Linked DNA regions of Diceros bicornis minor. The protein of the gene in region 2 purifies or fractionates together with the protein of the main gene of each other region. This does not show direct contact. Links are inferred from orthologs where the notes say so. Each region holds a gene or a part of one and is shown on either strand. Other genes may lie near its edges. The genes, in order: SSRP1, ZC3H18 and NCBP2.

Region 1 (7,418 bases), on a different chromosome or scaffold from region 2:
CAGTTGCACATCCCTCCGGTTGCTGCATGTCGGACGCGGCCCCAGCATGGCCGGAGAAGCGGTGCGTCGGTGCGCGCCCGGGATCCGAACCCGGGTCGCCAGCAGCGGAGTGCGTGCACTTAACCACTAAACCACGGGGCCGGCCTGTATTTTTTTTTTTTTTTAATTGGGCCTTTTCATAGGTACCAAGAAAACAATTATGGTGAGAGCTCTCAAAAATTTTTTTTCGTAGGGCCGGCCCCGTGGCTTGGCGGTTGAGTGCGTGCACTCCGCTGCTGGCGGCCTGGGTTTGGATCCCAGGCGCGCACCGACGCGCTGCTTCTCTGGCCATGCTGAGGCCGAGTCCCACATACAGCAACTAGAAGGATGTGCAACTATGACATACAACTATCTACTGGGGCTTTGGGGGGAAAAATAAATAAAAATCTTAAAAAGAAAAAAAAAATTTTTTTTCCCCAATTTAGAAGTTTTCTCAATTTAAATGATCCATTGTCTGGCCACATTGACGAGTAGGATCTTAATCTTAACAGCGACTCATACCAAAGCTTAAACATGGATGCAAGAGGCGTCCCCAAAAGAGATCCAGAGAATTCACTCCCCAAAATAAGAAAGCACAACAAGCAAACAATGAAGGTTGAGATGACAAAGCCCCCTTATGAAAGCAAATGGGACCCCTTATGACAAACTTCCCTGAGAGCAGGCACAGCTGGACAAAGAGTGTGTCCCAGAACCCCAGTCTACTCGACTGGCCGCCAAGATGCATGCCGGTACGTACATCCTCCGGATGGCAGAGACAAGAAAGGTCACAAAGCCAAGATCCCAAGACATAGAACAAGACAAAAGCCCTGGAACCCCAGTCTACTTGACTGGCTGCCAAGATGCATGCCAGTACATGTATCCTCCGGATGGTTGAGACCAACGAGGTCACAAAGCCAAGCCTCAGACAACAGGCTTATAGACATGCCTGTGTCTTATGACAAATGACAAAATAAGACAGAGACAAGGAGACATAGTGACTGTATCTAGGAGGAAAAGGATCAATTCACCAGTGAGTACTCAACCAGATCCTAGAGTCGCTGAGTCCAAGAAGCTAGCTTCACTAATACATTTTGGGATGGCCAATTCTGATCTCCCACAAGTGAATATTACAACTTGTTAAATACTTGATGTCTGTTATTATGTTTGAGCTAGCTGAGGCCTCAGATTGGGCGTATGACTCTCCCTGGGTCACATATGAATTACTGTCATTTATGGAGCCCATCCCCACCAGATATGACTCCAGGCCACCCCCAAAGTCACCTGGTTGGCAGTAAATTAGAGGTATGGGATTTGAGCGCAGGATCCCTGATCCCAGGCTGCTCTCTCCTACGCCCTGCTGCTCCTGCAGTCATGTGCTGAGCCCTCCCTTCCCCCTCCTCAGCTAAGAACACCACCAACACTACCCAGGATGAGCAGCACCAGTGGCCGAGCTGTGATCGCCAGGAAGAGATGCTCAACCTGGGCTTCACGATCGGCTCCTTCTTGCTCAGCGCCACCACCCTGCCGCTGGGGATCCTCATGGACCGTTTTGGCCCCCGGCCCACGCGGCTGGTTGGCAGGTGAGGTGGCCAGGCTGTGGGGAGCTGGAGGGCAGACACGGGCACTGTAAGGGGAGAGGAGGCTCTGGTTGTTCACAGGTCAACCCCACCCCCTCCCCTGTCTCCACAGCGCCAGCTTTTCTGCATCCTGCACCCTCATGGCCCTGGCCTCTCGGGACACCGAAGGTGAGATATCTGGCCTCTCATGCCGGCGCAAGAAAAGAATGGGTGGGATGAAGATGGATGTTTACCCCTACGCCTGCCCTAGGTCTCCTACTGCTCCCCACATGCCCTCATCCACCCCTCTCCCCTTCCCAGTTCTGTCTCCATTGATATTCCTGGCGCTGTCCCTGAATGGCTTTGGTGGCATCTGCCTAACGTTCTCATCACTCACAGTGAGTATGACAAGCCCTGGCTTGGCAGCAGGGCACCCAGGAGTGGGTTGGGGGTAGGAATGAGTGAGGGTCAGAGCGCAAGAGGATCCAGTGGATGCAGATCAAATACACGTGTGTGTGAAACTGTGCAGGCTGCAGCCAAGGGTGGGTGTGAGGCTGTGTACTTGTGGATAAGACTGTGTGTCAGAGGATGGATGTCAGGGTGTGTATGTGTGTGTGTGTGTATCCGGAGCACATAATGTCTACTGAGCTCTGTTCTAGGCACAGGGGCTACAGCACAAATAGAGCTGACAACTTCCTCACCCTCCTGGAAGCTTCCATTCAGGGGCTGGGGGAACAGGCAACCTCCCAAACAAGTAAACGGACAAATTATGTCGGTACTCATGAGTGCTGGAAAGAAAATAAAACCGGATAACGCGATTGGTAGTGACAGGGAGGAAGCAGCTTGAGACAGTGTGTGTGTGGGATGCTGGTTGTGGGAAACGGTGAGTAGGTAAATGTATTTGTGAGTGTGTTATTGAACCAGGTAAAACTGCCGAACTTGACCATGCCTGACCTACAAAAACGGCTTTTGCACAGCGCTCGACCTCTTACGTATGTGTGTGAATTTCGTGTGTGTTACTCTAAGTGTGTATGTTGATGTATGTGAGTGAGTGAGTATAAGGGTTAAAGGCTTAGGAGTGTGTGGTGGGGGGAGGGATTCCTGGCTGGGCCAGCCTCGGGGCTGTTTATTTCGGATGAGCTGAGCGCAGCTTGACCGCCAAACTGGATGTTTTTGGCTGAATTTCACCTCACCCAGCAGCCGCCTTTAATTCCAGCCTGGGACATTTCACAACTCTCTAAGGAAGCGATTCCCTTCCTCCCCGCCCCCTCCCTCTGCAGCCCCATCTTCACGCTGTGCAACTTGGCTCAGGGCCCTAAATCCCTTCTCTCCCTCGTCCTGCCCCCCACCGCACCCGGCCTCACCCCCTACCCTGCCCTTGCTAGCCGCGGGGGCTCTGCCGGCCGCAGCCCGCCGCCTCTCCCCCTGCCCCGCCGCCTGTAATCTCCAGCCAATGGCAGAGCCCGGCGCCGGCCCCGCCCCCGGCCTGGCCCCACCCCCGGCCCGGCCCCGCCCCCGGCCCGGCCCCGCCCCCGGGCCTCCACGCTCGCTGACAGATCCCAGCCAGGATGCCGGTGCTGCCCAGCCCATCATCCTGGGCTAGCCAGACCGGCCTCGCAGTGTGCTGGGCGGAGACAGCGCCCTTGGACCCTGGGGGGTGGGAAGCACCAAGAGCCCAGCTGCTCCCCGGGCCCTAGCACTTTCCCTGGCGTCCTGGGCAGTATGCCTTGCAGACACAGGGTACCAGGGAAACCTTGACCGAGTGGGGGTCAGCCTGACCCTACCCCCTTTTCACAGCCACTTGGAGGTTGGTGGGGGACTCACTTCTCTGTGTTTATCCACCTTCCTTTCCAGAGCGATTTGAGGTCCCCTTCTGGGCCTCTGTGGAGAGGATTTAAGTTTTGTATAGCATCGAAGGCCCTCCCCAGCTATGGGATCTGACCTGGGGCCGATGGTGGGGCCAGAGCGGGTACACAAAGGGTGGCATGACTTTGCTTTCCCCTCCCGCAAGGGTCCCGCTTGGGCCAGTGAGCGGAACATAGGATCCATTAATTCTTTACTGGTGGGAGCTCTGGGCCTGCTCTGCACGGCAGAGCCACCTCCTCTGGACACCTGGCCTGCCCCTGCCCCCTCACTTGGTCTCACTCTCACCTCCCTAGCCCGTCTCATGACTTTCCTGGCTCAGCAGAAACTGTGGGCCCCTTTGGGGCCACTGGGAGAGTGAAGGGGCACCATCCTGTTAAAGAGCCAGCCACGGTCACAGCCTTGGGGCCTGGGATAGAGCGAGGAGAAAGTCATTAACATGCTCAGTGAACTTGAGTACATTTCTTTCCCCTTTGGGACCTCAATTTTCTCATCTGTCAAATGAGTTGCCCTCGATCACTGTTCTTCAACACCCATTCCATGGGTTATTACTAGGTGTCACAAGATAAAGAGGCTCTAGAAAAAACTAACTTGGGAAGTCCTGGGGTTAAACAACATTGACAAAATTTCTCTTTGAGGGCGCTTCTGGGAGCCTTTTAGATGCTAAGTGCATTGGGAGTCCGTAGGAGGGAGGTTAGAGCAGAGTTTCCGACATTGATTTTGCCTGAGAACTTTTCTGTTGCCTCTCACGGGGCTGGTGTGCCTGGAGCTCTCTGCTGGGCTAGATGCTTCCAAGCTTTCTCAGGTGGGTCTGGGAAAGGGGAGCCCTGGGCGGGGGTCATGGTCTCCCCCTGCTCACTGGCGCTGCTCTCCTCCCTCAGCTGCCCAACATGTTTGGGAACCTGCGCTCCACCTTAATGGCCCTCATGATCGGCTCCTATGCCTCCTCTGCCATCACATTCCCGGGAATCAAGGTATGGAGCTGCCTGGGGGGCCGTGAGGTCACTTGGGTTTTCTTTTCACCTTGACGTAAGAACTGGGTGGGGCTGGGTAAGTAGTGGCTAGTGTGTCCGTGACCCAGTTCCTGCCTCCGGAGGTCAGTACCCACCCCCTCTGGGAAATCACTGAAGCATCATGGGAAGAGTCAGGTGCTGCTGCTAACCAGTGGGTCTGATTTCTCTTCTCTCTTCTTTTGCTTTGCTGTTGTCCCAGTCTGGGCCTTTATCCTCTCTCCTGGGCCGGTGCAAGCTTTCTTAGCTGGTCTCTCTGCCTCTGATCTTTTCCCTCTCTCATCTGTCATTCACATGACTTCCAGAATGATCCTAGATGGATGACTGGCTCACACACCCGCTCTGCTTCGCCTACAGAATCAAGTCCAACCTCTTCACATGCATTCAAGTCTCTTGATTCTCTGGCCTCACCTTTCTGGCCACATCTCCTTCCCCTGCCCTGGGGAGACTGGTTGACTTGGGTCAAGGTCACAAAGCTAGTCTGTGCCAGACAAGATCCCAGACAGGTCAGCCCGGTGGACCTAGAGCCAGAAGGCTGAGTTCTAGCTCTGGGCAAACTTGGGGCCTCATTCCTTCCTCTGACATCAAATGATATCAAAGCACCCTTTCCTTCTTTTTTTTTTTTTAATTGCAATAACATTGGTTTATAACATTGTATAAATTTCAGGTGTACATCATTATACTTTTATTTCTGCATAGATTACATCATGTTCATCACCCAAATACTAATTACAGTCCATCACCACACACATGTGCCTAATCATCCCTTTCGCCCTCTGGTAACCACCATTCCAATCTCTGTCTTTATGTGATTGTTTGTTGTTGTTTTTATCTTCTACTTATGAGTGAGATCATACCGTATTTGACCTTCTCCCTCTGACTTATTTCTCTTAGCATAATACCCTCAATGTCCATCCATGTTGTCACAAATGGCTGGATTTCATCGTTTCTTATGGCTGAGTAGTATTCCATTGTGTATATATACCACATCTTCTTTATCCATTCATCCCCTGATGGGCACTTAGGTTGCTTCCAAATCTTGGCTATTTTGAATAATGCTGCAGTGAACACGGGGGTGCACGCATCTTGACTCATTGGTGTTTTCATGTTCTTTGGATAAATACCCAGCAGTGGAATAGCTGGATCGTATGGTAGTTCTAGCCTTAACTTTTTGAGACATCTCCATACTGTTTTCCATAGTGGCTGCACCAGTTTGCACTCCCACCAGCAGCAAAGCACCCTTTCAACTGGGCTATAATGTGCTCCTCAGATTCTGCCTTGGACTGTTAATTTGTTCGTTTAGAGGGCACTAGCTCAGCGTCCCCAAAGGAGTTTGAGAATGTGCATTGGTGGGGGTGGCCATCAGCTGTTCGGGTAGCAGCAGCCACGGAGGGTGGCAGTTCTCCCTTCTTTTGCAGTGGGGTTTGAGGAGCCAGATCTTACCCCTACTCGTATGGGGGTGTGGCCTTTTGAAGCTCTGTCCTGCCCCCATGGAAGAAAGAGCCCCAAGGCCGAGGAGGAGCAGAAGTTTTCCCAGGCAGCACTGGAGCCTGAGGGGAGGGCAGAGGGTGGCAGGGAGGACAAGAGGAATGACACCATCTCTATGTACCTGGCTTCCCCAGTAGAGGGGCTGACACATTGGCACAGAATCCCAGTCAATTCAGAACCTATTGTCCCTGGTTAGAAGGCTTTGGGCAGAGCCCTAGCACACCCCCCTCCCCGCTCAGTTGCTGCACCTGGAGCACCCATGAATACCTGTGAAAAGTGAGATAAGGCTTCTCAGATTGGGTTTGCCTTTCCCCCAGAGAACGTGCCAGGAAGGGGCAGGACAAACACGGTTAGGCCTGGTGCACCTCGAACATTTATTCTCTTCTTTCCTACATAAAACGAAATGACATTTTTGTGTGAAAACAAGCCTGTGTATGGTGTCACAGGCAAAATGTGTGTGCCTTTTTAAGATCAGAATTGAGATTTCAAGGACATTTTGGACTTGTGGCCAGCAACTTCAGCACCTTGTGGGAACTACTTCCACCTCTCTAGGGTGGCTGGGGTGAAAAATAAAGAGGACGGTGGGGCCTCTAGGTCTGGCTCTAAACTTTTGGCCTTGGTTTTCTCATCTGTAAATTGGGCACGAGGAATAGGGTAGAAGAGACCTTCTGTGAGGCCTCTGAGTCCTGGGTTCTACCTCGGGCTGGAAGAGGCAGGTCTGGGCCCAGGCGGCCTCTTCCATGGGCCTGCCCCCTCCTCCCACAGCTGATCTACGATGCCGGAGTATCTTTCGTGGTTATCATGTTCACCTGGTCGGGCCTGGCCTGCCTCATCTTTCTGAACTGTGCCCTCAACTGGCCCAGTGAATCCTTTCCTGCACCTGAGGAAGTTGACTACACGTGAGTGGCTGTGTGGGGGGGCCGGAGTGGGAGGGGGCTCCTCCTGCTGCAGAGGAGGAGGCTAGGGGTGTGGTGGTGTGATGGACAGAATCAGCTTTGGAGTCGGAGAGACCTGGATTTCCTGAGCTTTCCGAGCTCTGCTCTCTCATCTGTGCAAAGGGCCTGATCCTGCCCCCGGCCAGGTGTTGTGAATAGACCTGGCACATAAGAGGCCGTCAAAACAGGGTGACTGCTATTATTATCGTCCTTTCCGGGTTTGGAGGACAGGATCAGAGTAGGAGGGACCCTAGTAATAGCGCCATGTGCCATGTGGATCCAGAAGGGGGATAGGAAGGAGTCAAATACCCCACCATTTGTGGGGGCAACCTGAATGCCAACTTTCCCAACGCCCAGTCAGTTCGGCAGGGGGCAGGGGTGATGCTCCACCACCAAGCACATACGGCACCAGTCAAATAGCTGATGTTTATTGAGTGTCCGCTACATGCCAGGCACCGTGCTTACCCTCATACCGTTCTCAAACAGCCCTGCAATGGGGATTCTGTTATTAACTCCATTAATAACAAAGGCACAGGGAACAAAGTGAC
Region 2 (7,418 bases):
AGGCTCTTCTCAAATTTTTGCTAGTCTCATTGCCTTCAATGAAGTAGATCCTTTAACAGCTTCTGTCACTTTGTTCTCGTTCTTCAAGATCATAGCTAGTCCTGAAGATGGAATGGGACATGCCTGACTGGCGAGCAATAATCATCACTGATTTTCCACCTTTGTGTTCTTTAATCACTTTTAATTTTGCTTCCAGGTCAATCATTTGACGTGGCCTCTTACTGGCAACATTAGTAGTGGATTTTGTACACTCAGGGGCCATGATGAAGAAAAGAATAAGAGATTAAATCAAGCACAAGAGAAAATGATGCAATCAAGATACATGGTAAGCACGAGACATATGAGGCTACTGCCAGCGACAGCTCACCATTTTACAGCAAACCTTTTTTCTAGGTAGAAAGAGCACACTCTAAAATAACAATACAAAGTATAGTATAGAAAATACATAAACCAGTGACATAGTCATTTATTATCAACTATTATGTACTATACATAATTTTATGTGCTATACTTTTATATGACTGGCAGCACAGTAGGTTTGTTTACACCAGCATCACCACAAACGTGGGAGTAATTTGTTGCACTACGACCTTACGACAGCTACGTCACCAGGTAATAGGAATTTTTCAGCTCCATTATAATCTTATGGGACCACCATCATATATGTGTTGACAGAAACGTCATCATGTGGTGCATGACTGTACATAAAATCAGCAAGTGTGCCAGAAGGTGGTGCACTCAGCTCTTTGGATATAAAGGATTCCGTTTGAACAAAATTTTATTCATCCAAGGCCTCCCACTGGACCAAGCCCTGCCTGAATTGGACCCAGTCCAGCTCAAGTCGGACCCAGTGTGATCCTGGACCCAGTCTGGTTTTTAAGTTGGACCCAATCTGACTCTGGTAGTAACCACCACCAATACCCATGGAATTTTGACAAAGCAGTCTGAAAGGCTAGAGGCTTGGCTCTGGGCAGAACCTCAAGCTGACCTGCCCTGTAAAGGAAAGCCACTTAGATCAAGAGCTGGAGGCAAAGACTGCATAGCGCAAACTGAGAGGAACTCACCAATGGCCCTCAGAAATGGCGAGAAAGACAGAAGAACTCAAAGGGTTCTCAGGCACCACGCCTGTGTTTCTTGCTATTCCCAAAGCTGCTGGAAGTCTCCTTCGGTTGTGCTGCTGCCACCAAATCTGTTAATGAACAAAAATTCAACCTTGTCAATTTAAATATCTGATTGGGTTTATTCAATGACTCATGAATCGGGCAGCATCCCATCTAGCAAGCAGAGAGTTGTTGAAATGGAAGGTATTGATAGGCAGAAACTGGGCGGGACAAGAAAGTTACTAGCAAACAAAAAAGAAAGGATTGTTTCAGGCAAGGTCAACTTTCTTTGGGGGAAGGGCTCAGGGGTCTTATCAGATGACCTCACTAGTGTTGACCAGGATTTTCCAGACTGATCCTTTAAGGTCACATTCCTGGGAGGGGCTGAAACTGCAATTAAGTCCTGGTTTGCTGACTCCAGCTTGGGCCTGTTTCTTTTTTCAACACCATTTAGCAGTCACCCCCCATTCCACCTCCTTCCAGGCCCGGTAACCACTACTCTACTTTCCGACTCTATGGATTTGCCTCTTCTGGATATTTCATGTAGATGGAATGTGTTAGTCAACTCGGGCTGCCCTAACAAAATACCATAGACTGGGAAGCTTAAACAACAGAAATTTACTTTCTCACAGTTCTGGAGCCTGGAAGTCCAAGATCAGGGTGCCAGCGTAGCAGGGGTCTGGCCAGAGCTCTCTTCTGGCTTGCAGATGCTGCCTTCTTGTGTCCTCACACAGTGGAGGTGGGGTGGGGAAGGGAGAGACAGAAGGGGGGGGTCTCTCTCTGTTATCTCTTCTTATAATGACTTCATTCCTTTCTATGGCTTAATAGTTATTCCACTGTATACTTAGAACACATTTTGTTTATCCGTTCATCCGGGCGTGGACATCTAGGTTGTTTCCACTTTGAGGCTACTGTGAACAGTGCTGCTGCCAACATTTGTGCTCTGGTTTTGTCTAGATACGTGTCATTTCTCTTGGGTTAGACACCAAGGAGTGCATTAGCTGTGTTAATACCTTCATTTCTTCCCCTGCTCATTCATTCATTCGGAAAACATGGAGCAAACATTTATGAGTTCATTCAACCTCACCATGTGCTGGACATTATATTTGTGGGCTGAATGGAGGCAGGCTGCCCCAAGGAGGAGCCCTTCTTAGTACTGCACATTTCCTGGAGGAGGAAGATGGGGTGAGGAAAGGCCTGCTCTGCTCACCATTCCCCAAAACCCTTAGATACCCCCAGAACAGGCTATATAAGTTGCAGGGTCCAGTGCAAAATGAAAACATGGGCCCCTTGTTCAAAAATGACTAAGAATTTTAAGGTGGGGAAAGCAGGTCATTCAACCGAGCTCGGAACCCTTCTAAGTGCGAGTTTCTCATCTCTAAAATGGAGAGCACACTGTGTGATCCTCTGCAGCGTGGCTCCAGGAGGCTCCACCCTGAGGGTCTGTGAAGGTAGTTGTAGAGCTGTAAAAATGCTCCAAGTATCACATGATGTCCTTCTGATCACGGAAAGGTTACATCGGGTTAAGCTGATCACATTTAGTAAGATGCGGAGCTATCCAGTCCGATGGAAATAGTTTAAAACTTTAGCTTTGATATTTAAACTCTATCTCAAAAATGATTAATTTTGTGTTGAGCTGATTATATTTAATACAGCTGGAGCTATTTAGTCCCACGTAAATAGTTAAAAATTATAAGCTGTGATATTTAAACTCAATATTTCAAAAAACAATTAATTCTTGTGTTGAGCTGATTATTTTTAAGAAAGTGGAAATAGTTAAAAATGTTTAAGCTTTGGCATTTAAACTCCATATCTCAAAAATGATTAATTTGTCGGGCGGTAGCTCCTTACTCCCACAGAAGGAGTTAAAATGCAAGCTCTGAGGCTTAAACCACCTTCGTTGCAGAAGGTCCACCGTCCCACTCACCGCACGACTCCGCCACGCGGGAATCGGCTGCTCCGCGCGTCACGTGACCTCGCGGCCCGTCATGTGACCGCGCGGCGCGCTGACCCTCCCCGCAGGCGTCGTCCGGCGGCCGGCGGCGCGCGGGCTCGGAGACCCGCCCCCGGGAGCGTGGCCTCTGGCGGCGCCTGCGCCGTGGAGGGGCGGGCGCGCGCGCCGCGCGGGCGGGGCCGCGCGGTGGGGCCGCACGGAAGCCGGAAGGAAGCGGGCGGAGGGCGGGGCGGGCGAGGGAAGCCCGCCGGCCCGGAGGACGGCGGTCGCGGCCTGATGACGTCGCACAATGGCCGGCCCCCGCGGGTAGTGCAGCCCGTTTGTTCCGCCCGCGTCGCGCCTGGAGCCGGAGACTGTGAGGAGCGGAAGGGCCGAGGGACGCCTTCCCCGCGCCGTCCAGACCCCAGCGGAGCCGTGGCCCCCTCCCCGCCCTCGCGCTGAGGTAAGCGGCGGCGGCGGCGGGAGCCGGGCCGGTGGGGAGGGGAGGCCGAGACGGCCGGGCGGGGAGCGTGGCGGCGGCGCGGAGCCCAGGCCCGGGAGCCCCGCCGCCGCCGCCTCCGGGGAGCGCTCCGGGCTGCGCCCCCGGCCGAAGCGTGGCTCTCGGGCCCCGGGAAGGGGCCGTGAGAGCGGCACGATCCCGCGCTCCGTCCGCGGCGAGCCAGCCCAGAGCCCTGGACCCCTCGGAACTCGAGCCCCGCGCGGCTGCCTTGGCGCCCTGCCGTGGAGTTGGTTCTCCCGGAGCTGTCATTTCTCTTCCGGGACGTTCGCGGGGCACATGTTTGCCGCCCGCAGGGGGGGCACGCGGGTCGGCCCTCAGAGGAGGCCGGCCGGGCTGTCGATGGGCTCTTAGGGAACTTTGAGCTCGCTGGAGCCTCCTGGAGCTTGCTCCCTCGACGTCACAGTGTGCACAGGTTGGACGCGCTGGCTGTGCCCCAAGACGCGCGCCACTCTCTTAGGATGTGAAACTTTCCTGCGCCTTTGGTCAGAAGCCGGAGGAATGATGCCGGGTCCTTGGGATAAACTACTGCAGCTGTGATGCTGGGCGAACCTGAGTGGGAGACTGCCAGTCTTGCTCCTGCTAAGACTTAACTTTTCCTGAATACTTTATGACGGCCGACTTTGCTGGGTAGGCTGGTTGATCACTTTAAATGAGCTTTGTCCAGCAAACTCATTTGCAAGAGTAGGTCAGACTTCAGATGCGTTTGGGGAAAAAGGAAGAGGAGGGTGTTTGACATCCGAAGTACTGTTTGGGAGCGTAGCAATGGCTCTCATCCTTTCTTCTTAGAGACTCACCTTCATCATAGTTCCCGCAGAGTGGTCCTTTCCCAGAACCGAGGTTGGGATTCAGGGTGAGCCTGGACCCAGGCTGATTCCCACCTCCAAGCCCTGGGAGGGGAGTCTGTCTGACAGTTTTACAATCTGAGCACGTATGTAGCCCACCCAACTATGGAAACCAATGGTATGTGTCCCAAAGGCTGGAACTCATCTCCAGTTTGGGGTGGGAAATGCTCAAACATTGTAAGAAAGCTTTGTGGAATCATTTCAGAGGGCAAACAAGTAAGCTGTGGCCTTGCTCACGTTTAAAGAGGTTTTTTGTTTACTTTTTCACAGCTACATATCGTCTCAATGTGAGACTTACTTGGGGAATTTTTGGTAGTCAAGCTTAGTCATTTTGGGGGTGCTGTCACCAGCCTTGACATCCTTCCTTTGGATGTTGTAAATCCATGAAGTTATGAACCAGGACTTTAACCAGCTGTACCAGAACTGAAGCATTCAAATAGGGTCTGCTCTGTTGAAGGTCGTTATCCCAGAAGGGTACCTTGCATTTCACTGGTGCTCCTTTGCCAAAACCTCTTTAGAACTCCCGTTTTGGTAGTAAATATATAAGCGTATGAGAAAATCAATCTCATTCAATAGTCACACCCCATGTTTGACCAAAAATTGTCTTATCTGGCTTGGTAATTCACCTCACCACCTCTGAATGGCTTCCTGTGCTTTCTCAAAGTGACCCACCTTGAGGAAGACTTGCTGCCACTGAGAGCGCCAAGAGAGTGTTCTACAGGTCACTCAAAGAGAGAGGTTCCCAAAATGTTCTGTGCTTTAGCAGTGCCATTGGAATCAATGTGCAGCCTTCCGGAGTGACGGCTGGGAAATGAGACAGCCCCACTCTGCATCTGAGTTCTGGTATAGTCTTCTAAAACTGGCACTTCTTTCAGATATTTCTGGTAAGCGACAGGTAGTTTATCAAGTCACGAGATTTTCTCATTTATTCATTCGTTTATTCAACAAGCATTTATTAATCACTGTCTGCCAAATGCAGTAGGCAGTGGAGACACAAGGATGGACACTCATTATTCCATCTTGGGGATCAGAGGACTAAAGGGTGCGCAGTTTTGCCGGGAGTGGGTGCAGGCGGTTGTATGAGAGCTGTGAGCCTGGGAGTGGTGAAGACATGGCCAGACCTCCATTTCGTTTTCTACACTTAAGAGGCCACAGGTTTCTCCCAGCACCTGACAGAGAGCACCCACTTAAATATTTGCCAAGTTGAATTAATTTCACAACAGGGCAGACATCCAGAGAGACAATTAACCTGCCCAGAGCGGGCCTGGAACAGAAGCCACCTTCTGACTCCAGTGACACTTCTCCTCTTCTGCACAGCAAGGTGTGACTCAGGGTGCTTCTAATAAACAGGTAGATTCTTCGGCTTGTTTTCTTCTGCAAGGTGTTCAGTTCTGTGCAGCTTCGGATTATGAAATCCCAAGAGGTTCCATAGGGAGAGAAGAGATGTGACTCCTTTCCTCAGGAAATTGTCAGGACATACAGTGACTATGTCCCAGTATGTCTAGGACAGCTCCTGATCATGCCTGTGTGGCTGTTAATGCCCCCTTTCAGTCTCAAGCGTGTCCCAGTTTAGACAGTCAGTTTTGTGGTAGCTCTGCTCCTAAGTGCCAGCCACTTGCTGAGTTAGGGGAGCACAGAGGTGAGTGTGAGCCCTTCCGCTCAGGCACTTCATGGGAGCTGAGGGAGTCTCGCAACAGACTTTGCAAACAGATTGCAAACAGTCGCAGTACAGTGTGGTAAGTATGGATACATAATAGACAAATGGACAGTATGCCTAGGGCAAGAGTTCTTAATCTGGGGCCTATGAGTGGACCTCAGGAGGTTTTGAACTCCCTAAAGTGGAAGATAAATTGCATATGTCCAGGTTTTTCTAGGCAGAGGAGCCATCTCCTTCATCCCATTCTCAGAGCAGTCCATGCTTTCGCAAAGGCTGATTGAGCACCGCTGACAGAGCTCTAGGCCCCCCTTGATGGTGCTAGGTGCACTCAGGACCGTAGGCTCTGCCACCTTCTGGTCAGCGCTGAGAACTGCCTGTGAGAGTTGGGAAGTTACCTTTGCGTCCTTGGAATGTCGAAGTGATTTCCGTAATTCAAACTGTGGAGGGCATGCGGGCTCAATAAAATTCTTGAAATTATTTCCCATGCCACAATACACCAGCCTTTCAGGATCTTAATTTAAGTCAGCACTTCCTGTGGTGTTAGTATAAAGGTGTGCACCTTTTGGGGGTTTCTTTTATTGGATTCATGTTTGGTGTAAGTGCCTAAGATTCAAACTTCAGACAAGTTCAAAATCATAAAATAAATGACTGTTGTTACAAGTCGAATCTCCATGTGATGATCACCATTTTTAACTAATAGTTTACACAGATCATATAGTAACTTTTCCATCTGTATGAAAATGTGTGTTTTGGGTTCTAGAAGGGCTAGGATAGCAGTGTAGATGGACCAGCAGAACACTTTAGAAGGGAGAAGAGAACAACAGGCAGAATCTACTGGTTCAGTACAAGTCCCCAGTTTATGCATGGGCTGTGTTCCAAAAGAGAATTTATAAAATCTGTTTGGAACTTGGGTCCCATTTTCCTGTAGAAACAATGGCAAAAAATGGGGGTTGGTTCTTAGGCAGGGAGCGGAAGCTCATTTCATGCATAGTACAGGGCTCTGACTGAGCACGCGCTCTAGAAGCAGCTCTGAGTTGCAGTCCTGGGGTACCCACTCAGTGGGCTTGTGGCGCAGTTTCCTTGTGTGGGAAGGGGAACATCACTTATTTGGAAGGTTAATATGAGGAAATCGGTCAAATGCCAGACACAGGAGTGGTCTCAGCAGGTGGTGGGGCTGTGGGTTTTATTGCCGAGGTGGTTTTAATAACAGAGTCCTGCATTAGTAGGTCCTCAGGCATTGGTTGAGTGAAACGGTGAATGAATTACTCCTGAGTGCTCCCAGAGACTTGAACTGGATCTGACAGGCATGATAAGAGTATTGTTTCTGGAAGTTGAGGATTACCTTTACTCATCTTCACATTAATTC
Region 3 (7,418 bases), on a different chromosome or scaffold from region 2:
AGTGCCACACTTTCCTCATGACTCCAACCTGGAGGAAGAGGAAAAAGTGGTAAGCTGGTAAATGTTTAGCAACCTGTTCTCTGGTGCAAAAAAGCCCCCATTTGTAGCATTTGCCAATTTCTGGGTATAAATACTCCCAGCATGGCTCTGAGAGGGGAGGAGATGCCAAGGATCTGCTCTGTATAGGCTGCCTCTAGCACACTCCCAGACGTTTCCCTACGTTAAACTCTACAGTACCCTTTCAGGACAATTCACTGTTCTTGTGGTCTATTTCTGCTATGAAGCTCTGATTGGTCTTCTTACCCCTACTGCTTAGCATCATCTCTGGAACACGATAAGCATGTATTTGTTTACTATGCTGCCAAAGATGGCTTTCCTGCCCAACAGATAAAAACCAAGTGCCACCTTGGAGACATCCCAGACTCTAGGGGGGGTCCCAAACTCCTCTGGGCTTCTTGGGACTTCTGCCTCTTCCTTCCCTCAATTGGGTCCACAACCTCAGAATTCCCTGGAGGAACCACTGGTGTAGCAGTCCACGTGGATTGTGGTGGTCTGAGTTCAAATGAATTTGTCCATAAACCGTTGGTATCTAAATCTGTGTGGCATCAGGGGTGAGTCGGAATTGCCCTGCAGTATAGCAGGGTGAGTTGCCTCCCTGTTTCCCTTTCTGGAAGAGCTTAGAAGAGCTTAAAAGGCATGCTGGGAAATCGCTGCTACTGGGGGTGGTGGGAAGAGTTTGGTCTGTTTCTTGAGTCATAGGGTAACCGGTGGGATGGCAAGCCACTGACTACAAACACTGGAGGCTTCTCCAACGAAGGGGGTAGGCATGTAAATCACCTCCAGCTGCACAGAAAAGACCCAGTTCTCTCTCTCCTCCCAGACTCCTTCTACAAAAATGGAGGGAACGCAGTTCTTATACACTTCTTTGACAAAAAATAAACTGCTCCCTTCGCTTGCTTTCCTTCCTTTCTTACCAAATGGCCAGTTTATCTGGAAGCTGCATTGCTTCCTGTACTGCTTCTCTTTCTGACTCTGCTGGTCTGGAAAAAGACCTAACAGTGAGTGTGCTTATTTATGTTGAGGGTAAGGGGTTGGGCTGGGGACTGCCAATATTCTGCTCCTCTGATATCCAGAGTAATGAGTGGGATTGAGACCAATGAGGCAGACAAGTCAGAATGAACAAATTCCTCAAGCTCCTCACTGCCAGGCTCAGAGGAGAAGCCAGTGAATTGCCTCTGGTCTGGGAGAGGATTTGTCTTCTAATGGGAGGACAGGAAGATAGGACACATGCCAAATCAGGACTTTGGTAATTAGGAGACTGGGACCTCTGGCTTCAGAGAGGATTAAATAGCAGCACCTCTGATAGGAAGACTGGAGAGTGGGATGTGAAGTCAAAAGTCTGACCATTAGGAAAGTGGAGGACCAGCTACTTTAGCTTCTCCATCTCCAGCGTAGGTCTATGGCTCTATCTAACTCTCTCTCTGTGACTATCAGAAAAGCCAGAGTATAAATTGTCTTTGGTTACCAGCCTAAAAGCTTCTCCTGTGGTTTCGAGCTTTCTAGATCACATGATTAACTGTGTAGCCTAATTAGAGGTGATCAGATATGCAGTCAAAAGCCTCAAATGACGCCATTTCTGTGTACAATGAATTTCCTAACCATGGCTCCATTCGCTGGACCATAGTCTTTAGATTGTATCCCAGACCCTCTAAAATGGGGAACAGGAATCCAGGCAGCTTGTTCCACGTAGGCAGGAGTCCTAACACCCAACGGTGGTGATGGTGGGAGGCGGGCAACGAAGGTCCGGGTAAATGTGGCAGGGAGCCCTGACTAAGGATTTAGGCCCTGGAGTCAAACGCCTGTATTCACATCCCACTCTGTAAGGCCACGGGCAACTTAAGGAGTAGCCTACACTTCCTGATGTGAAACTGGCTGTAAAGAGTTAAGTGAGCTAACCCACACAGAGTGCATTAGCTGGTGCCAGCACTGAGTAAGCACCCAATACGTGTTCACTAGTATTACCATGTGCCTACAGTCCCCAGGAATCCTAACCCATCTTGCCGGAGAAGTACCACGCTCATACCCATTACCCAGCTCACACATTTAATCAGAGGATTTTGGCAGCTGCAGGGCTGTCTTCCCATCCATGATCTCCCCTGGAAGTCACGCCCTGCTAGCACATCAGTGCAGAGGCAGCATCATAGACCACGAGTTTTAGTCCCATTCGCGGAGGGCAGACTGTCTTTCGGGCTGAGGTTTGGTCCGTGGCTCCCTGTCCGTGATGTATCCAGGCCCAGCCTATCTTTCTTCCTCTCAGGCTTCGGGGGCTTCCTTCACACACGGTGCCCTGTCGGATCACAGGGCTTCACCCAGCTCTGGCCAGTGGGACCCCGGCAGGCCGACGATCTGAGTCAGGATTCGAAGCCGCGCGCAGTGCCCGGGGTGACTCCTTAGCGCCGAGGCCTGTGTCGAGCCTAGAAGGGAAAGCAGGCGACCTCGGCCCGGCCCAGCCCAGCCCGGGTTCAGGGGTTTGCGCCCGGGCCCCGCCGGCTACCTGGTGGTGGCCCCGGGCGTTCCCGGAGGCCGCGGCGTAGCTCCTGAGTGAAGGTGTCTTTGAAGCGGGCAGCCCGGCGGCCCAGGGAGCCCGCGGGCCCAGCCGCGAGGCGTCGCAGGCGCCGGGCCGCGTCCTGGCCGCGCAGCTGGGCCTGCAGCAGTGCGAAGGCCGTGAGCTGCGCCGCGCGCCGGATCGGCCGCGACTCGGACAGACGCTCCACCAGCTGCTGGCTGTGCAGCAGGGCGCCCAGCAGCCGCCGAAGAACCATCCTCGGAGCCACCCGGAACCCGAAGCACGCCGCTCTTGCTTCTGCTCGGCGCTCCCCAACAACGGACCACGTCTGCGCCCGCGCCGCTGGGTGACGACACTGCCACGCTTGGATTGGGCCGCACGATTCCGACTTTCTGCAACCGCCCCCGCGCGTTTCCGCTTCCGCCTGGGCCGCGGCGGCCTCGTTGTTCCCGGAGTGGCGGCGTCGCCGACCAGCTGTGTGCACTATGTCCGGCGGCCTCCTGAAGGCGCTGCGCAGCGACTCGTACGTGGAGCTGAGCCAGTACCGGGACCAGCACTTCCGGGTGAGGGAGGCCGGGCTGCGAGAAGGGAAGGCCCTAGGCCGGGACGCCGAGAATCGGTTTGCTCTTGTCTCATTGTGTCGTCTCCCGTTCTCCAGTTTCCCGGGACGCGAAGAGAGGCCCCGGTGCCTCCTGGGGAATGGATGCTGAAAGGGCGTTTGGATGTCAGTGAAGCCCCATCTCTCATAGAAAGGGAGTTTGAGGCTCGCTTTCCCATTCCCTTGCAGCCGCTGCCTGTTAGCGGGCCACTGCAGAGCGGTTTGAGCGGCAGTAGTGGTGGCTCACGTTTTCACGGGCTGTGTCTCGGGAAGCTGACTTGGCGATGAGGGGAAGAGGTGTCCTTTGACGCCTGGAGTATGTGGAGGCGCCTTCCTGACCCAGATAGTGGGACTTTTTATTGCTTTTTAAAATTTTAAGTTAAATTAGCCAAACTGCCCCTTGGCGCTTCGAGTCCTGTCCTTGGTCTGGTAGAACGGTCCTACACAGTTCTACGCGGTGGATGGGAGACACAAATTTGAGTCCTGTCTCCACCCTTAGGGAAGCCCTTGGAGTGGGGAGGTGGACCAGCCAAGCTAGGCACATTAAGTGTCTGGATATCAGGATCAGAGAACTGCTGGGTTTCAGAAGGGGGAAATTTCAGTTTCGCCTATGTCATAGTAGATTATGTGGAAAAGGGAAGGCTGCAGATATTCGGGGTACGCTCTTCAGTATCAGCAAAGGCGGGGGTGGGGTGGACGACACATGAACCACTGGTTATTCAGTAAACTTTTATTGAGTGTTGTTGCTGAAGCCTTCTGCTAAACCTTAAAGGGAGAGAGAAGACAGTTTCGGCACCCTTAGAGTTCATAATCCTCTAGTAGGGATGGTAAATAGAGGTAAGTAACCTTAATCTAGAGCAGAAATGATGAGTGGAAAGGGAGGGGCTGTGAGGAATCAGAAGGGAGAACCCTTATGACTGGGAAAGGAGGGCCACATATAAAAGAGGGTAGGCATGGAGAATGTAAAATGTGTTGGTAGGGAAAAGGAAATTTTGTTTGAGGCGAAATTGAGGAAGATCTTAAATTCATTCACTCAGTCAACAGTTTTTAAATGCTTACTCTATGCCGGGCATGATTTTCACTTCTATTACTTTCACAGTTCTCATTACTTTAGAAAGTTCCACATCATAACCATCTTGAATTTCAAGCATCCTGCAAGATTAAAACTGTGAACAGTTTTAATTAACAGATAAACAGAAAAACGACTTTTTCTGTTATTCATCTCTGCAAGTCTAAAGCCTATAGCTTTATTTAGTAGAAAGATACTGTGATGCGGAATTTCTAGTGTTCCCTGAATGGAATCCACGTTAACATCACACGTTAAGTACTTACACCACAGTTGTCTTAAGCCATAGGGTATTTGTTTGGACATTACTTACAAGTGGGAGAAAACTAGAAAGAAAAATAAATGCCTCCTGACCATAATTTTAACAAATCAGTAACAGCAGTAATATAAAGTGAATCACTTTAATGTCTCATTCCAAAGTTCTGAAAGCCTATTTTAATGTAGAATGACTCTTGTCCTGTGAACTTTTTAGGGAGTATGAGATTGGGGATAAGACAGGGTTTGGATTCCAGCTACAACTACTGAGTAGCTGTGTGACCTTGGACAAGTTACTTAATAGTCTTTCCTCAGGTGTAAAACGGGGATAATAAATTAGGACATACCTCATTCAGTTCTGAAAATTAAATGAGCCCTCATACATGGAAATCCCTGACCTGCAGTTCCTTGATTCTCCCTAGAGGCAGACATAATTAACTGTTTCTTGTGTATGATATCTGTGTATATTCATACTTTTATGTAACTTGCAGCATACCTTTCACGTTCTGTACCTTCTTTTTTCACTTTGCTCTCTCTCGGAGATGTTCCATATCACTGCATGTGGATGTTAGATTTTTTTTGGGACTGCATAGTTTTATATTTATTGATGTACCATAATTTATTCCATTTTCCTTTTGATGGATGTGAGTTCAGATGGTTTCTCTGTTCTACCACTGAATGTGATCAGGAGACCTATTACTCAGCACTGTGCTGCAAAGCATTCAGACACGAATAATGCAGTCTTAGTCTCTGAGTGAAGGAAGCTGGATCAGCATTATGTATGGTGTAGTACATGAAGAAGGGAGGCCTCTTGGGAAATGCTCTGGGGGCCTGAGTATGGATCTACTGAGCTACTTTCCAAGCTGGAATACCACTGTATGGTTGATGTTAGAGCCGTAACCTGGGTCAGAGGGGCCTGCGAGCAGGTCACTTGGTAGGTCTTCTATTTAATCAGTATTCGTCCTCCCCAGTGTGGAGGAGGTGAGAAGAGAAAGTCGGAGGACGGCCACACAGGTTTCTGTGAAGCCATCTAAAATACCACGTCTAGCCCATGATGAGCCATCTTGTCCCCAGGGATTGTCAGGTGTGTTGGCTGAAGTCCAGTTGTATTCCTCTCGCTTCATCTTGTCTTCCAAATTAGGAAGCCCATCAAGAAAGTGAGATATCTTATTTTTAGTGATCCCTACATTTTCTTCTAAACTCAGAGAAAAATATATGAGCATGTAAAACCATCTAAGCAGTTGTTGCTTTGAACATTCTCTATGGAAGTATTATAAGGCAGTTCCCTATCTCTGAAAATCCGTTTATTTTTCATCATGAAGGATAAAAGGGTCCCCTCTAATATATTGGTTCAAGGTCCAGAAATTAAATTTGGGCCATTAGAGAAGGAGCCAGTGCTGAGGATATGGGGTGTACAGGGAAAAGGCATGCCACTTGTGTGGCAGTATAGTGCAGGAGGAGGACCTGCATAGTGCTTCATGGACTCTTTTTTTTTTTGGCAAGGGATTTGTGGTGGATTGGGATGATGAGAGAAGCTGATTCCCAAATCAGAGTTAATGAAAGTTTTTTCTTATACTTAGGAATACTGTTTAAACAAGGCTGTTTTTAGATTGTGTTGCTTAACTTCTCTATTTGAAATTCTAGGGTGACAATGAAGAACAGGAAAAATTACTGAAGAAAAGCTGTACATTGTATGTTGGAAATCTTTCCTTTTACACAACTGAAGAACAAATCTATGAACTCTTCAGCAAAAGTGGTGACATAAAGAAAATCATTATGGGCCTGGATAAAATGAAAAAAACAGCATGTGGATTCTGCTTTGTGGAGTATCCTTCCTAGGTGTTTGATGAAGCTCTTGGATGAGGGTGGGGCCAAGAGTGGCTAGTCACCTGTTTAAAAAATGAGTGAGGATATTCACTAATTAGCACCCCTACACTTATCTCTACTTCTCCTTCCTTCATCTACCTCCTACCTTCTGTCCAGTGTGTCTACACTCTTACATTGTGAAAGCTGGTAACATTTACATTCTGTTCTGAAATCCATGCTTTGTTTATAGTAGATGCTTCAAGAAAAACAATCTTTCGAGAATGTATGCTTATGGTGATTAAAAAATCCAAAGGGTGTAGTGAAAATAATATCCCTGTACCATTCTAAGCCCAGAGACAATCAGTTACCAGTCTCTTGGGTGTCTTTCCAGAAGTAATCCTGTGGATGTGTGGTAGTGTACTGCATGCACTAGTTTTTTTCCCCACCTATCTTAGATTGTTCCATGTTAGCACATGTAGATCTACCTCTTTTTAAGATGGCTGTATAGTTTTTCATTATGTAGATGTATATAGCTAGATTTTATTTATTTATTTATTTATTGTGAGGAAGATCAGCCCTGAGCTAACATCCATGCCAATCCTCCTCTTTTTGCTGAGGAAGTCTGGCCCTGGGCTAACATCTTGCCTATCTTCCTCCACTTTATATGGGACGCCGCCACAGCATGGCCTGACAAGCGGTGCGTCGGTGTGCGCGCGGGATCTGAACCCCGGGCCGCCAGCAGCAGAGCACGTGTACTTAACCGCTACGCTGCGGGGCCGGCCCCTATAGCTTGATTTTATAGGTATTTATGTATGATCATTTATTGTCTCCCTGGAAACTCTATAAATATTGGACCTTCTGGATTTATCCTTTGGTATTTTGGTTTTTTTTTTTTAGCTAATATTTTCTTTTTTGGTCATTTTGTTTTATATTCTGAGAAATTTCCCAGACCTGATCTAACATGTCTTTTGAATTTTTTTTCTGTGCTCTGAATTATCTGTTTCTTTTGGTTGTATTTATGCTGTAAATTTTCCTTAAATGTCTGGTGATCCCTGGGTTTCCAATCGTGTTAGGGAAAAGAAGGCTGAGTTTGTGCACTCAAGCAGAGCTTCTCTCTCAAGTTGCTG

Evidence for each region.
Region 1: the proteins of ZC3H18 (region 2) and SSRP1 purify together in Homo sapiens (affinity purification with mass spectrometry; 3 studies listed by BioGRID and IntAct, with this or other methods). This does not show direct contact. The link is inferred for Diceros bicornis minor from reciprocal best matches to the Homo sapiens genes ZC3H18 and SSRP1.
Region 3: the proteins of ZC3H18 (region 2) and NCBP2 purify together in Homo sapiens (co-immunoprecipitation; 3 studies listed by BioGRID and IntAct, with this or other methods). This does not show direct contact. The link is inferred for Diceros bicornis minor from reciprocal best matches to the Homo sapiens genes ZC3H18 and NCBP2.

The regions. Positions count from the first base shown.
Region 1 is NC_080770.1:16,425,789-16,433,206, forward strand, and holds the start of SSRP1 (FACT complex subunit SSRP1), read left to right. Parts: upstream 1-2,412; 5' UTR 2,413-2,425; intron 2,426-4,318; coding exon of another isoform or gene 4,319-4,411; intron 4,412-6,700; coding exon of another isoform or gene 6,701-6,834; intron 6,835-7,418. Other genes in the region: SLC43A1 (large neutral amino acids transporter small subunit 3), read left to right, coding at 1,421-1,598, 1,708-1,763, 1,896-1,972, 4,319-4,411, 6,701-6,834. UniProt on the Homo sapiens protein: Component of the FACT complex, a general chromatin factor that acts to reorganize nucleosomes. The FACT complex is involved in multiple processes that require DNA as a template such as mRNA elongation, DNA replication and DNA repair.
Region 2 is NC_080771.1:37,024,347-37,031,764, forward strand, and holds the start of ZC3H18 (zinc finger CCCH domain-containing protein 18), read left to right. Parts: upstream 1-3,324; 5' UTR 3,325-3,496; intron 3,497-7,418.
Region 3 is NC_080754.1:29,107,021-29,114,438, reverse strand, and holds the start of NCBP2 (nuclear cap-binding protein subunit 2), read left to right. Parts: upstream 1-2,984; 5' UTR 2,985-3,051; coding exon 3,052-3,129; intron 3,130-5,172; exon of another isoform or gene 5,173-5,419; intron 5,420-6,129; coding exon 6,130-6,311; intron 6,312-7,418. Other genes in the region: protein NCBP2AS2, read right to left, coding at 2,523-2,822. UniProt on the Homo sapiens protein: Component of the cap-binding complex (CBC), which binds co-transcriptionally to the 5' cap of pre-mRNAs and is involved in various processes such as pre-mRNA splicing, translation regulation, nonsense-mediated mRNA decay, RNA-mediated gene silencing (RNAi) by microRNAs (miRNAs) and mRNA export.